3 linked regions of the Caenorhabditis elegans genome follow. The protein of the gene in region 2 interacts with the protein of the main gene of each other region in a pairwise test. Each region holds a gene or a part of one and is shown on either strand. Other genes may lie near its edges. The genes, in order: cpl-1, eif-3.D and pals-17.

Evidence for each region.
Region 1: the proteins of eif-3.D (region 2) and cpl-1 interact in a two-hybrid assay, tested with the Caenorhabditis elegans proteins (one large-scale study listed by BioGRID).
Region 3: the proteins of eif-3.D (region 2) and pals-17 interact in a two-hybrid assay, tested with the Caenorhabditis elegans proteins (one large-scale study listed by BioGRID).

What each region holds. Positions count from the first base shown.
Region 1 is NC_003283.11:16,592,071-16,596,923, forward strand, and holds cpl-1 (Cathepsin L-like), read right to left. Parts: upstream 3,277-4,853; 5' UTR 3,276-3,276; coding exon 3,018-3,275; intron 2,542-3,017; coding exon 2,443-2,541; intron 1,902-2,442; coding exon 1,454-1,901; intron 886-1,453; coding exon 677-885; 3' UTR 502-676; downstream 1-501. UniProt on the Caenorhabditis elegans protein: Cysteine protease which plays an essential role in the degradation of proteins in lysosomes.
Region 2 is NC_003281.10:8,969,133-8,973,153, forward strand, and holds eif-3.D (Eukaryotic translation initiation factor 3 subunit D), read right to left. Parts: upstream 2,447-4,021; 5' UTR 2,445-2,446; coding exon 2,263-2,444; intron 2,217-2,262; coding exon 1,257-2,216; intron 1,210-1,256; coding exon 781-1,209; intron 739-780; coding exon 597-738; 3' UTR 503-596; downstream 1-502. Other genes in the region: Putative RNA polymerase II subunit B1 CTD phosphatase rpap-2, read left to right, coding at 1-102, 147-296, 348-495; R08D7.4 (Complex1_LYR_dom domain-containing protein), read left to right, coding at 3,089-3,502, 3,556-3,856, 3,928-4,021.
Region 3 is NC_003281.10:1,389,950-1,393,532, forward strand, and holds pals-17 (Protein containing ALS2cr12 (ALS2CR12) signature), read right to left. Parts: upstream 1,904-3,583; 5' UTR 1,886-1,903; coding exon 1,843-1,885; intron 1,798-1,842; coding exon 1,749-1,797; intron 1,700-1,748; coding exon 1,612-1,699; intron 1,561-1,611; coding exon 1,472-1,560; intron 1,129-1,471; coding exon 825-1,128; intron 780-824; coding exon 597-779; 3' UTR 501-596; downstream 1-500.

The sequences.
Region 1 (4,853 bases), on a different chromosome or scaffold from region 2:
TTTGAGAGGCAGGGAAACTTATAGCTCGATGAATAACACGCATAGAATGAATTCGAGGGGAAAAAGTAAAGAGGTGGATAATTATTGAAAAATACGTGCAAATTGAACCCCTTGGGAAAGAACATCAGTCTACTTTCTGAGGTTAGAAACTGCGAAAAAAGAGCATAGGTCCCACCGAGATTTGAACTCGGGTCGCAGGATTCAGAGTCCTGAGTGCTAACCGCTACACCATGGAACCGCGGTGTACAGCGGCGGCAAATGTTTGTAATGAGAGAGGGTTAACAATCGACAACCGCTGCTTTGCAATGTTTATTTAATTTTTCGTGGGGGACTTTGATTGACTAGGCAAGCAGGCAGGGGCGTAGACACGCTAAAAAGGACGTCACAACTTGGTGTCTGAATTAAAAGCGAAAACGAAAACTATAATTCAAATTTGTTACGAGCTAATTATATGCTCTTACTATTTCCTCACTTGTTTTTAAGACAGAAAAATGCAAAACTAAATTCAAAAATCGTTTATGTACACCACAATTTGAAATACATAATTATAGATATTAGAGAAATTCCAAAAAAATACAGAAAACGAGGTAAAGCTTGACAGAAAAGAGTCAAAGAATTGCAATTCGGGGCTACAATTAAATTTTCCAAAAAAAAAAATTAATTATTAAGTTCAAATTTAGACCAATGGATAACTGGCCTTGGTGGCGACTCCGCAGTGATTGTTGCGGTTACGGGCGATACGGATGTATCCCTTCTCTCCCCATCCAGCTCCCCACGAGTTCTTGACAATCCAGTAGTCTCCGTGCTCTGGGTCGGTTCCGTATCCGACGAGAAGCACTCCGTGGTCGAGCTCTTCGGATGAGCATTCCTCATCGTAGTAGACTCCTGAAAATGGATGATATTCGGTGGAACTTAGGCTGAGTTTATGCTGTAGGCCTAGTTTTAGGCCTAGGCTTAGGCTTTGGTTTAGGCATTTGTTTAAGCTTAGGCTTATGAGCTAGGCTTGGGATTAGACTCAGGCTTAGTCTTGAGCTACGGCTTAGACTCAGGCTTAGGCTTAAGCTTAGGCTCAGGCTTAGGCTTAGGCTTTCGCTTAGGTTTAGGCTTAGTCTTAGGCGTAGGCTTAGGCTTAGGCGTAAGCTTAGGCTTAGGCTTAGGCTTAATCGTAAGCTTAAGCTTAGACTTTGGCCTAGGCTGATGGGGTTATACTTTGCTACTAAACAATTTATAAATTCCTTCACCACTTTCACATTCAAGTTCGAACCCAAACTATTATTGTCAAGAGGGTATCATTCAAAAACACGAGTTCTCTTATCACTATTGCCCTCTCTGTCTCTGATGAAAAACCCGAGTAACTAGCTTTCTTATCATTATCATCCAAAATGCAAATAAAACTGACCCGTCAATAAAAACTAGTACCCCCCCCCCCCTCACATCTTCCCACAAAACATACCCTTCTTGTAAAGTTGGAAGCTGCGGTGTCCGGCGTCGATAGCAATAGAGATTGGTCCTTGGGTGGCGACAGCGATCTTAAGTTGCTCCTCATCTCCTTCTGGGGTGTCAACGTATCCCTTATCATCAGCTCCGACGGTCTTCTTGTTGAAGTGACACTTCATGTCACGTCCCTTGTATGGGTATGACTCCTCGGTGTCGACACCATGGTTGTCACGAATGTACTCGAAAGCTTGATCCATGAGTCCTCCGTTGCATCCGTGGTTTCCGTACTTGGTAGAGCAGTCGACGAGGTTTTGCTCGGAAAGGGAGACGAGTTGTCCCAGCTTGCGAGCGTGTTGTCCTTCGAGGGCTCCGGTGGCGGAGAAGGCCCAGCACGATCCGCACATTCCTTGGTTCTTGACATCAGTGACGAGGTGGGTATCACGCCAGTCAACCTCATCTGGGACCTGAAAATTGAATAGGTTTAGGCTTGAGTTTAAGCTGAGGGTTTGGTTTAGCCGAAAGCTTGGGAAGCTCAAGCTTATGCTAAGGCTTAGGCATAGACCAAACTTCTTCCTGGACTGAGCCAAATCCATCAACTCACAATCAGTTTCAAGCCTAGGCTTAGGCTTAGGCTGAGGCTTAGGCTGAGGCTTAAGCTTAGGCGTACACTTAGACGTAGGCTTAGATTTAGGCTTAGACTGAAGCTCAGGCTTAGGCTTATCCCCTAGAAGTTCATCACAGCTCTAAGCTCTGGTGTTCAAATTTCAGCAAAAACAGTTCTAACCATTTGAATCTTGTTTTTAAACATTTCGGTGACCAAAACATTGCGAAATTCAATTTTCAAGCGTATCAATCATCAGAGATGATAATTCAAAAAATACGGTCAGCGAAGAATTATTTTTATCGGTCGTTGAAAACGTTTTTGTTTATGCAAATAGTTTTATAGTTTTGATCGACGAGAAAGTTAGTGTCTGGACCCCAACAAAACCCCTCTCAAAAAATTACCTGAACATTGAATGGAGCCAAGAAAGAGGAGGAGTTCTTGATTCTGGAGTCACCGAAGAGACGTCTGTAACCGTTGAGTTTGCGGTATTGGCTGAATGGCTGAAAAAAACAAGAGTTTGAAAATCAAATGACCTTCGTGTGTTTTGTCAGTGTGGTGGTGTGATAAGCCAGCTGTTGGTCAGTCACGAGACGAGGATTTCATATCTTTATCTTTTTTTTTCTCGCTGGGTGAGATTTTGATAGTGGAACGAGACAGAGAACAGCTTTTTGAAGTTTTTATAGGGGGTATTTATTTTCTTATCTGTCGAAATTAGGAAATGCAAAAAAGGAAAACTTGAAAATCCTCGCTTTAGGAACTTGGGACTCCGGAGCTCCAAACTTGAGATCCTTGGGCTCAAAAATTGTGATCCCGGAGCTCGTTACTTAAGAACCGGAGCTTGAATTTTGAAACCCCGCAGCTCAAAACTTGGGACCCTGGAGCTAGAGACTTCGGTCCTCGGAGCCAGAATTTGAGTCCCCGGAGCTCAAAACGTCGGACGCCGCAGCTCATGGTGCATTGAAATGCATATTCTTACCAAGTCAGCAATATGATTCAATCCCATCTCGAATGTCTTTCTTCCGAGTCGGTGATCTCTGTTGTGATTCTCAATATGGATCATATTCTTGACAAATGCCTCCATATAGGTCTGCTCCTCGCTCTCCGAGTACTCCTTATCAAAGTCCTCCTTATAGTCGTCCCATTTCTCGATGGCCGACTCGATTTGACGGGACAGCTTGGCCGAATTGACGGCGACGACGGCGGCAACCAGTGCCAGAAGAATGAATCGGTTCATTCTGGAATTTTATAACATTTAAAATTAATTTGAAAATTCTACAAAAAGCAGGGGAAACACGAAAAAATATGGAAATGGAATAGGAACTACAATGAACACCTCCCGAGGCGAGTTTATGAAGGATCCTAAAGTAGGCGGGGACAGCGTCAATCAGTGCCAGGACGAGTGTGAGGAGAGAGATGGAGAGGCGGAGAGAAACAGAGAGCGATCAAACCATCAGGTTATCAGTCAACTGATAATAGAGGGAAATTAGGGGTGAAAGTGCTTGCTCCGGTGCTAGGAGCTCAGAATAGTACAGAAATTGGATGATTATCATAATAGGGTTAAGTCAGATAAGCATGTGATCAGGGATAAGTGTTTCGAAAAACGGAAGTTTTCGAGCGGAAGTTTCCGAACTTCTTGAAGTATTGAACATACAGAAAATTAAGGTTTTTGTAGTTTGTAGTGCCCCCAAAGTTTAGAAAACTACCAGTTTTGCTAGAAATGTTTCCAAAACCGAGAAAATTGTTCGCCTTTTAAAAGTGTCAATTATTGGAGTTTAACCGCAAAATTCCAGCAATTTGTGTCAATTTCTACTGTTTTATTGACGTTAGGAACAGAAACTTCCATCAAATTTTGCTCTTTTTGAAGTATGAACTTTTTTTTCGGTTTTTTTTCCAGAAATTTTCAAAACTTTTCATTACGAAATTCGGTAGTTTTTAACGATTTTGGGCCCCAAAAAGCAATGTCTCAAAATTTTATAAGTGGTCCTTGACTGATGTCGGCTGCTTTTTTAGCAAAGGTCAAACTACAAAGTGAGTCAAGTTTTTTAAAATTAACTTTGAAAAAACAGGGGGAAAAAGGACAGAAAACAAACAAACAATTAGGTCACTTTAACAGGTGGCCAACAATGTAAATAAATTGTTTCGCATTCTAAAGGATTTCCAAACAAAAAACTTAGGAATGAAAAACGAGAAAATAAATGTCATCAGCAAGAAATTACATAATCATCCAGCTATTGATAAGATACCTGGTGAAGACGGTGAGATAATCTACGGGAATAAGGAATGATAATGGGAACCTGTTTTTTTTTTGGAGTGGGGAATGGCAGACTTGAGATGTTCTAAGCAATTTTTTGAAATCGACAATTGTTTAATCTTGGGGAAATAGGGAAAAAAAGAGATTTCGAAATTTGGAAATTTCAAAATCTCAAAAAATGCTGTAACTCGTATGAAGTTTTTTATAACTTTCAGCACGTGAATTTCGAAATTCAGTAATTTAAAAACTCAAAATTCAACTAACTAACAAGAAAAATGTAAGAAAAATTATAATTGGAAGTTCTCACTTTCAGACATTTTTCGATACAAAATTCAAAGTTTCAGCACCTAAAAAATCGTAAAAAAATGAATTTAATTTATTTTCAAATAAAAAAAAATTGAAACTTCAGATATTTTCCCATAAGAAATTCAGATTTTGAGACGTGTTCACATAAAAATTTAAATTTCAGACGGGAAAGGAAAATCGTTACGTATTTTTCAATAGAATTTCATAAGTTCATACAATTCTAAACATGGAAGAAATAAAAATGCCGCCAATTTC
Region 2 (4,021 bases):
TAAAAAGGTGGACGCGGAGAAATTGGTCAATTTGCCGAATCTTGATAAGTACAATGTGAAAGAGAAGAGATTGAATATTTTCCTGCATTCTATTAGGAATCAGTGAGTTTATCTAGCAATTTTAAATATTAATTTTGAAATTACAGCTGGATGGATTTGGAAGCACGTTTACATTTAACTCCAACTCGTCGTGATATTCTCAGTCGAGTAGCTTCGACATTCCAACTCGATTCGGAAAATATCACTGGCTGGACAAAGAGAGAAATTAATTCTATCGTTATTGCTCTTTTCATTGTGTAAGTTCTAAAAAATGCATAATTAAAAAATTTCAAAATGTTGAAATTTAGGATTTGCCTCGTCGATGTTGAGCTTGGAGACGACTACTTCAAGAAGGACAACGCTTCTCCAGAACTTACTGCGATTTCCAATGAACTATGCGGGCTTGATTCTTTCCAAATTACCGGTTTGCACGCTGCGATTAAATCCCAATGTTGAATGATATTTTGAATAAAGTTTATCTTATCAGAACCAAGTTTAATTAACAAGAGACAATAATTAGAAAAGCGAATACAAGAAATTGTCAGAAACCGGGGACTTTATTGATCGTCATCCGAGTTCTCCTCGTCGGAGCTCTCGCGCTCGCTTTCGAAAGTTCCTTCTGGAAGCGAATAAAGGCGGATAACCGGAGATTGTGGATCCTTCATCAACAAGTACTTTCCTGGTTTTTGCTTCATACAACTGGAAAAAATTGATTACCAGTCTGGATGTGCTCGTTCTTACCTGTCAATGACGCATCTAAGAATTCCCCAGCAGTTATCCATGTTCAAGGCGATGTTGCTAGCAAACTCCGTTGGCTTTACGTATTGGGTGAGTAGAATAGAATGATTTTGTGTGCTGCGTGCATTGTTACGAGACACATATCCGAGCTTCATTGTGTCGGAACCGGCAAGAAGTGCTTGCAGAGTCCACTTTGCAACCTTAGCTGAGTTGTTCTTGATTTCGGTGGCCATTACGGCTCCCTTTTGAACATCAAGCTTTGTTCTCCAGTCGACACCTCCAGATTGTGTGCTATCCCATTCGTTGAATGCCTTGATTGTAAGAGTCTGAGTCTCATTTCCGAGTCCGTGAATAACTCCATCCAATTCTGTACGGCAAACCAACTCAACTGGTTTTCCATCAACTCCGTTTCCAAGATTCCACTTACGGTATCTAAAAATTGTTTAATTAAAGATCAAAATTTTAAACGAAAATCCTACTTGTAAGCAGTTCCTGACTCTCCAGTCTCCTCGTCTTCGAATGGAGCACGAGCATTCTTGAAGGTGAATCCTGCGTCGTTTCTCTTGACGACTTGACGACGGAAGTTTTGGTTAATGTAGAATGCCTCGGTCGCAAGATCCTTGGCATTGTTGATACCATTTCCGTCGAATGATGGTGGTTCGGCACTAGTCTCGGAAACAGTAAGGGTCTCAACTGGATTCAAAATATCTCTAGTGTTTCTCTTATCGAAGAAAAGTTTGTCTCCGACTCTGTAGGCAACAATGTCCCACGAGTAGACCGAACGAGGAGCAGTCATCAAAGTAGCAAGAATTATGTCTGTTCCGAAAACATTTCCAGCACCACCTTGAGCAAGTTCTTGAATTACAGGATCTTCCGTTGTGGTGACATTGTAGAACACGCCAGCGCATCTTTGAAGCGGAATAGAATTTTTCACAGAAACGCGATCAATAGTCTTGTCATAGTATTGAAGACTTCCATACTGGTGATCCCCAATGTCGTCTCCTCCTGGGATGTTAGGAAGAGCAAGTTTGGAAAACGCACTAAGATTCATTTCTTCAAGAACAACCCATTCCGGTCTAACTTGAACAGATGGAAGACGTTCCTTCGGCCGATCACCTCCGAATCGACCACCTTGTCCGCGTTGTCCTTGACGAGCATTTCCTCCACGACGTTGCCACATCTTGAAGGCACGTTGTTGCTCCTTGGCGATACTTCTCTTCATTCTCAAATTCGTTGACTGGTTCACCATCTCACGCTTCTCATTTTCTTTCTGCATCATCTTACGAAGATGCATTTGGCGGACACGGAAGTTGCGCTGTGGATTGCGAGCCATTGGTTTAGAAGTGTCAACAAGTTGGAAGTTATGCTCATCCATTCCATGAATGTAATCGAACTGACTTCCAGCGTTGGCGGCGGATCCATAGACACGCTCATTGTATCTAAATTTCAAGTTTTAACGATACCACTCATTTGTTGTATAAAAACCTCTCATTTCCTCTTCTATAGAATCTATCAACACCAATCCAGTCGGCAACACGTCCGATGCGATCAGCCTTGTTGAATTGTTGGAATGGAACAGGCTCATCAGCAGAGGAACTCGACGCCAATGGACCCCATCCGACTGTATTATCAGCCAATGACAACAGTTCAAACTTTGGTAGAGCCATACCTGAAATAAATATAAAATAGTGTTGAAATGCAATTTTAGGCCAAACGATAGCAACGACAAAAGAAATGGAAATGGAACAATAACATTCGAGAGCATTTAAAATATAGTTACAAGACTTTCATGAATTTATATAATTCACAAAACAGAAAAATTAATCAGAAAATCGTATAAAAATGTGAAAAATCCGACAAGAACGCGTGTAAAAATAAAAATGTTTAATCGAGAAATGCGCAAGGTACACGAAACGCGCCAACATTCGCCACTTGACGCCACCTCAATTTTTGGTTTTTATTTGTTTTCTCCAAATTTCCTCGCATAATCAGAATATAATTCCAGAAACGGGTCCACCTTGATGAATACAGTGCCACAAAGTATTCGAGTCATTCAGCTCTATCGACAGATTTTAAAATTGGGCAAGAATTGGAAAGCAAAAGAAGAAACAAATACTGTAGTTGAGAGACAACAAATTATCACTGAAGCTCGTCAGGCTTTCCGAGAGCACCAGCAGGTATTCTCGTTCTCAATATTGATGTGGAAACTAATTATATGGGATTTTTCAGGAAAAAGACCCAATAGTGATTGGCAAACTAATCTATCAAGCGGAGCAGCGAATCGTTCAAGCAGAACACTACGGAATTCCACATGCAAGACCCGAATACCTTCCTCCTGATACCGCTTATTCAGTCAGAACGAAAACGCAAAATTTTCACAAAATGTCAAGAAAACGGAGAACTGAGCGGGATGGTCCACTCAGAAAAGGAGACAACTGAACTCCAGTTCAAAAGATTTTATTGTAGCGCTTCAAAAATTCCGGATCAGCTAATGAAGGATATTGTAGAACAATGCATAAAAGATTCGGAATATGCTGAGAATCTTTGCAACAATGTCTTCAATAATGAAATTGTCACATCGCATGAAATTCGTTACAAATTTCAAATAAATGTTCTTAAAAACTTGATTTCTGAACTTCAAGCCAATAATGTTGTTGTTCCTGATTCAATGTTCGACAGGCTTGGTTCTCTAATGGGAATGAAAGAAGGAGAATATGTGGAAAGAGTAAGTTTTTAAACAATTCGTCAGCTCAAATGGAAATAATTTCATATTTTCAGGTTTACCTAACCGATGGAGGCGACAAAGTTCTAGCGAAATTCTCGGAAGCTGTAAATCAACTATCAATGGGTACAACTGGCTTATCAGTTTGGCAAGCTTCTTGTGATCTCGCCAATCTTTTTCGCTTGATTCCCTCCGAGTACAATCGAATATTAGAACTCGGGTCAGGATGTGGTGTTAGTGGAATTGCAATTGCAAAAATGAATGATTGTTGTGTGACGCTCACTGATTATGATGATAATGTGCTGAATCTTTTAGAAGAGAATATTGCGAAAAACGATCTGAAGAGTGATACTGAAGGTATTTTTTGAGAAATAAAATCGACTCCTTCCGTATTTCAAATTTAAAAATATTTAGAATCTAAATTGTAGATTCGTCAGCCAACAACAATCAAGCAACAGTTCGCTCACTCAATTGGTGTGATTTTGATTTCTCTGAATGGAAGGAACCCACGGATTTGATTAT
Region 3 (3,583 bases), 7.6 Mb from region 2:
AATAATTCAATGGCACCGGTAGATGAGACATTTTTAACCAAAAAGTTTGGCTTACAAACTATGATAAATTAAAAAAAACAAAAAATAATACGACAATATCTTACTATTAGGATAAATTTTCCAAAGTGAGAACCCTATTTTCTGTCATCGACTTTTATATACATATGCTCCTAGAACTGTTATCAGTTATGGTATCCATTCTGGGTGATAAACTTTGATGACGATTGTACAGCCGACTGAAATGTATCACCTTGTAGAAGTGTTGATAAGCAACTACTTCTCTTCAATTTTCTGCGTTTCCATAACTCTCTATTTGAAAAATCAAAAAATGTGGTGCGAATACTCAAGTGACGTATTAGTTTTAGTCGAAACAAATTTAACATGATTGTTTCATTAAAACATCAATAACTTATCTGAAACTTTGAAATAGTTCCCTACAACACAGTCAAACTAGTCTTGCATGAAGACCTTGGTGGAAAATACGGCATATGTATGTAAACAACACGTTAAAGATCTTTATTTAAGACCATATTAGGTAAGTTTTCAGATAAAAAGTCGGTAATTGTTTACAAAAAAAAACAAAAAGATATTCTTCATTATACATTAAAATCCGAACAAATATCAGCCATTTCCTGTAAATCGAGATGAAAGTTTCTCAGATCATCCTTGTACAGCTCCACTCTCTCGGCATCGTTATTGCTACAAGCTATTTGGTAATGAACGCACAAAGATCGGAGATTCGAGTAGTTAACAAGTTCTCCCATTTTGAGAACTTGGTCCTGTAATTTAAATAAATGTTTACTGAATCAATAAATTGTACATACCGATAACTTTTCAAATATATCCGCATCAATGTAGCTAGATCTTATCATAAAACTTTCAAAGTACTCAGTTTCTTCCTCAAATTGTTGAATTTGGCGTTCTATGCTATCGGAGAACAACTCATCCGAAATACCATTTTCCACTGCATTGTCCACGTCCTTCTCAATTTCACGCAGTAAACGGACCATTTTTGAAAATAACCTCATAGCTTCGTTTCTGTTCTTGAGCTTTAGAAAAGCAATGTAGTTTTTCCTCTTATTCTCTAATTTGTGAATTTTCAAGTTGTGTTCCTGCTCCAAATGTTCCCTGTTAAAATTACAAAGTATGGTTTTACTTTAAGGGTAGCAATAAATACTTCACAATTGGACTGGTAAGACTATTTGTAAAATATCCAATAGTGTTGATAATAATGAGCTATATTCAAAAGCAACGCGTAAAAGGTGAGCTGTTTTAGGAATAATCTAACAATATATTCGAATTGTTCAGTAAGTGTGCAAGATCTGTTAGGCGGACTTTGGTTAGACCAGGGAGTGGTGAACTATGCATATTTGTGAAAAAACGCAAGTTCCAAATCTGTTTTACCTGGCACTGGCCTGTAAGTTTGAAGGCCGTATATGTCAAATAGCACGCCGTCTATAAAAACACTAACCTTTCATCCTCAAAATTTTTTAGCATTTCCTCTTCCCTTGTTTTCTGGAATGCTCCATTTTTGTTTGAATATAACTTCCTGTTTCCGGGCTAAAAGTTGAAACTGTAAGTATTATTATATATTCTCAAAATAAAATATACCTTAAACTCATAATATTCAGGTTCCATGTAGTTAAGGTTTGACTGCTCTGGTCTAGCAAAATCGCCTTGCCTCTCCATAAAAAACTGTCTGAAGGGTGAAAAGCATTATTTAGACTTTTGAGACTTATGGGTTTTACATTTCTTTTCCTTCCGAAAATGTTCTTCTCAGCAGGTTGCTTTGTTGAGCTGAAAACTTAATTTTACAATTTTGACTTGGTCAAAGGAACAAACCACTGATAGACTTTTCACTAGAAAACTTTGATGAAAAATTCATTTTTGGCGAGGTGGTTCTGTAAGTTAAATTTGGAAAAAACGAGGCACTAAATTCCAAAAAACGGACGTGTGTGAGAGTTACTAGTACTTTTATGCTCAAGAAGTTTCGTTAGAAAATTTCATAACTGAAACGTTTTGTTTCGAAAATGAACATTGAGGAGGTCGCAAGTAAGTTTCAAAAGTTCATGCTAGTTGTCTATAAAATGTACTAAAAATAAAGACAGAGCAACCAACTGGGAGTATTATGAAAGGTCTATAATTATGTAGTAATGTATTGAATCAATGTCACTACATGACGGGTGCTCACTGCTTTGTTTTGATAATGGTAAGAAAATGAATCACACTTGTATGTGTGTTTTAGACTACGAATCTGCAAACTTATTAGTTGACGGAATTTCTCCAAGTTCTACCTTTCCGTGGCTACCGGAGGACAGTGCGTTGGCTTCTGGCTCGCGTTATGCATGATCTACCAGTGAGAACACTTTGGGAACTAACAACTAATTTAGAAAGGAACGAAACAATCCTTTCAAGTTGTAAGACATTCAAAAATGTCTTGAGCAAAAATTTTTCGGAAATTCATGGGAAAATGCGAAAATCTGGACCCAAAAAATATCAGCGGCCGACATCTCACGAGTTTTGCACCCCGTTGCGTTTACCGTGACAGTGCGGCACGCCGTCAGCAACGTAAGACGATGAGGGCGTAGTAACTGTCACGGTAAACACAGCAAGCCGCGAAACTCGTGAGATGTCGGCGGATAATATGTTGGGTCCCGATTTTTGCATTTTCCGGGGATTTTCCAAAAAAGTATACTTCAAAGAATAATTGTTTAAACTGTACCCCACTAGAGGGACTAGACCTTTAAGCAGTCCTAGTTTATTGTCTTAAATTATAGTACTCGGTACTATTACTAAGAATATAAAAGAAAACGTCACGACCAGAAGTCATGGAAAATTTTTAAATCCCCTATTTTTCACACATGAGAATTTTGAAGCAATATATGAACATCCGAAAAGAGTAGAAAAATGACGTAGGTGCAGGAAACTTTTTCAAGTGATAACAACCCTTTTAAGGAAAATGAAATGTGTAGATAACATAATTTTTTTTCTTTTTTTCTCCTTTTTGCTCCACTTTATCGTCGTCTCTCTCGTTTTTGTTCCGCACAGCAACCTAGGGCACGAATTTTTAACCAATGAGAATCCTGAAGTGTGCAGTGGGGCGCGCTTGCATTCTGAATCAAAAGTGAAACTTTGAAAGTGTTTTTCCTGTTTTTCATCGATATTTTTGGGAGAATAAGGAAATATTTATCAGAAAAACACATTCCAGTAGATTTTTTGAATATATGGTTGCAGTTTTTAGTTCAGAAAATACAAAGAACGCATATTTCGTTTTTTTTTTTGAATTTTCAAAAAATATCTAATGGCAGGGTATTTATCGGAAATAAAACAAACATTATGGGTCTCCTATTTTGTAAAATGCATCTTAGTACTATCAAAGTATAGTAATTTTTAGATTTCACAGAAAAATAGTGCATATTTGTTCTATTTCAATGTACATCCTATTTATGTTTCTCAAAATGCTTCCAATTGCTGTTATTTTGTGCCATTGCGCTATGAAAATTGAATTTTTAGGTTGTACAGTACTGAAAATGATAAATAAAACAGCACACTCCTCACAGCTTGTTTTTGAATTTAAATTTAT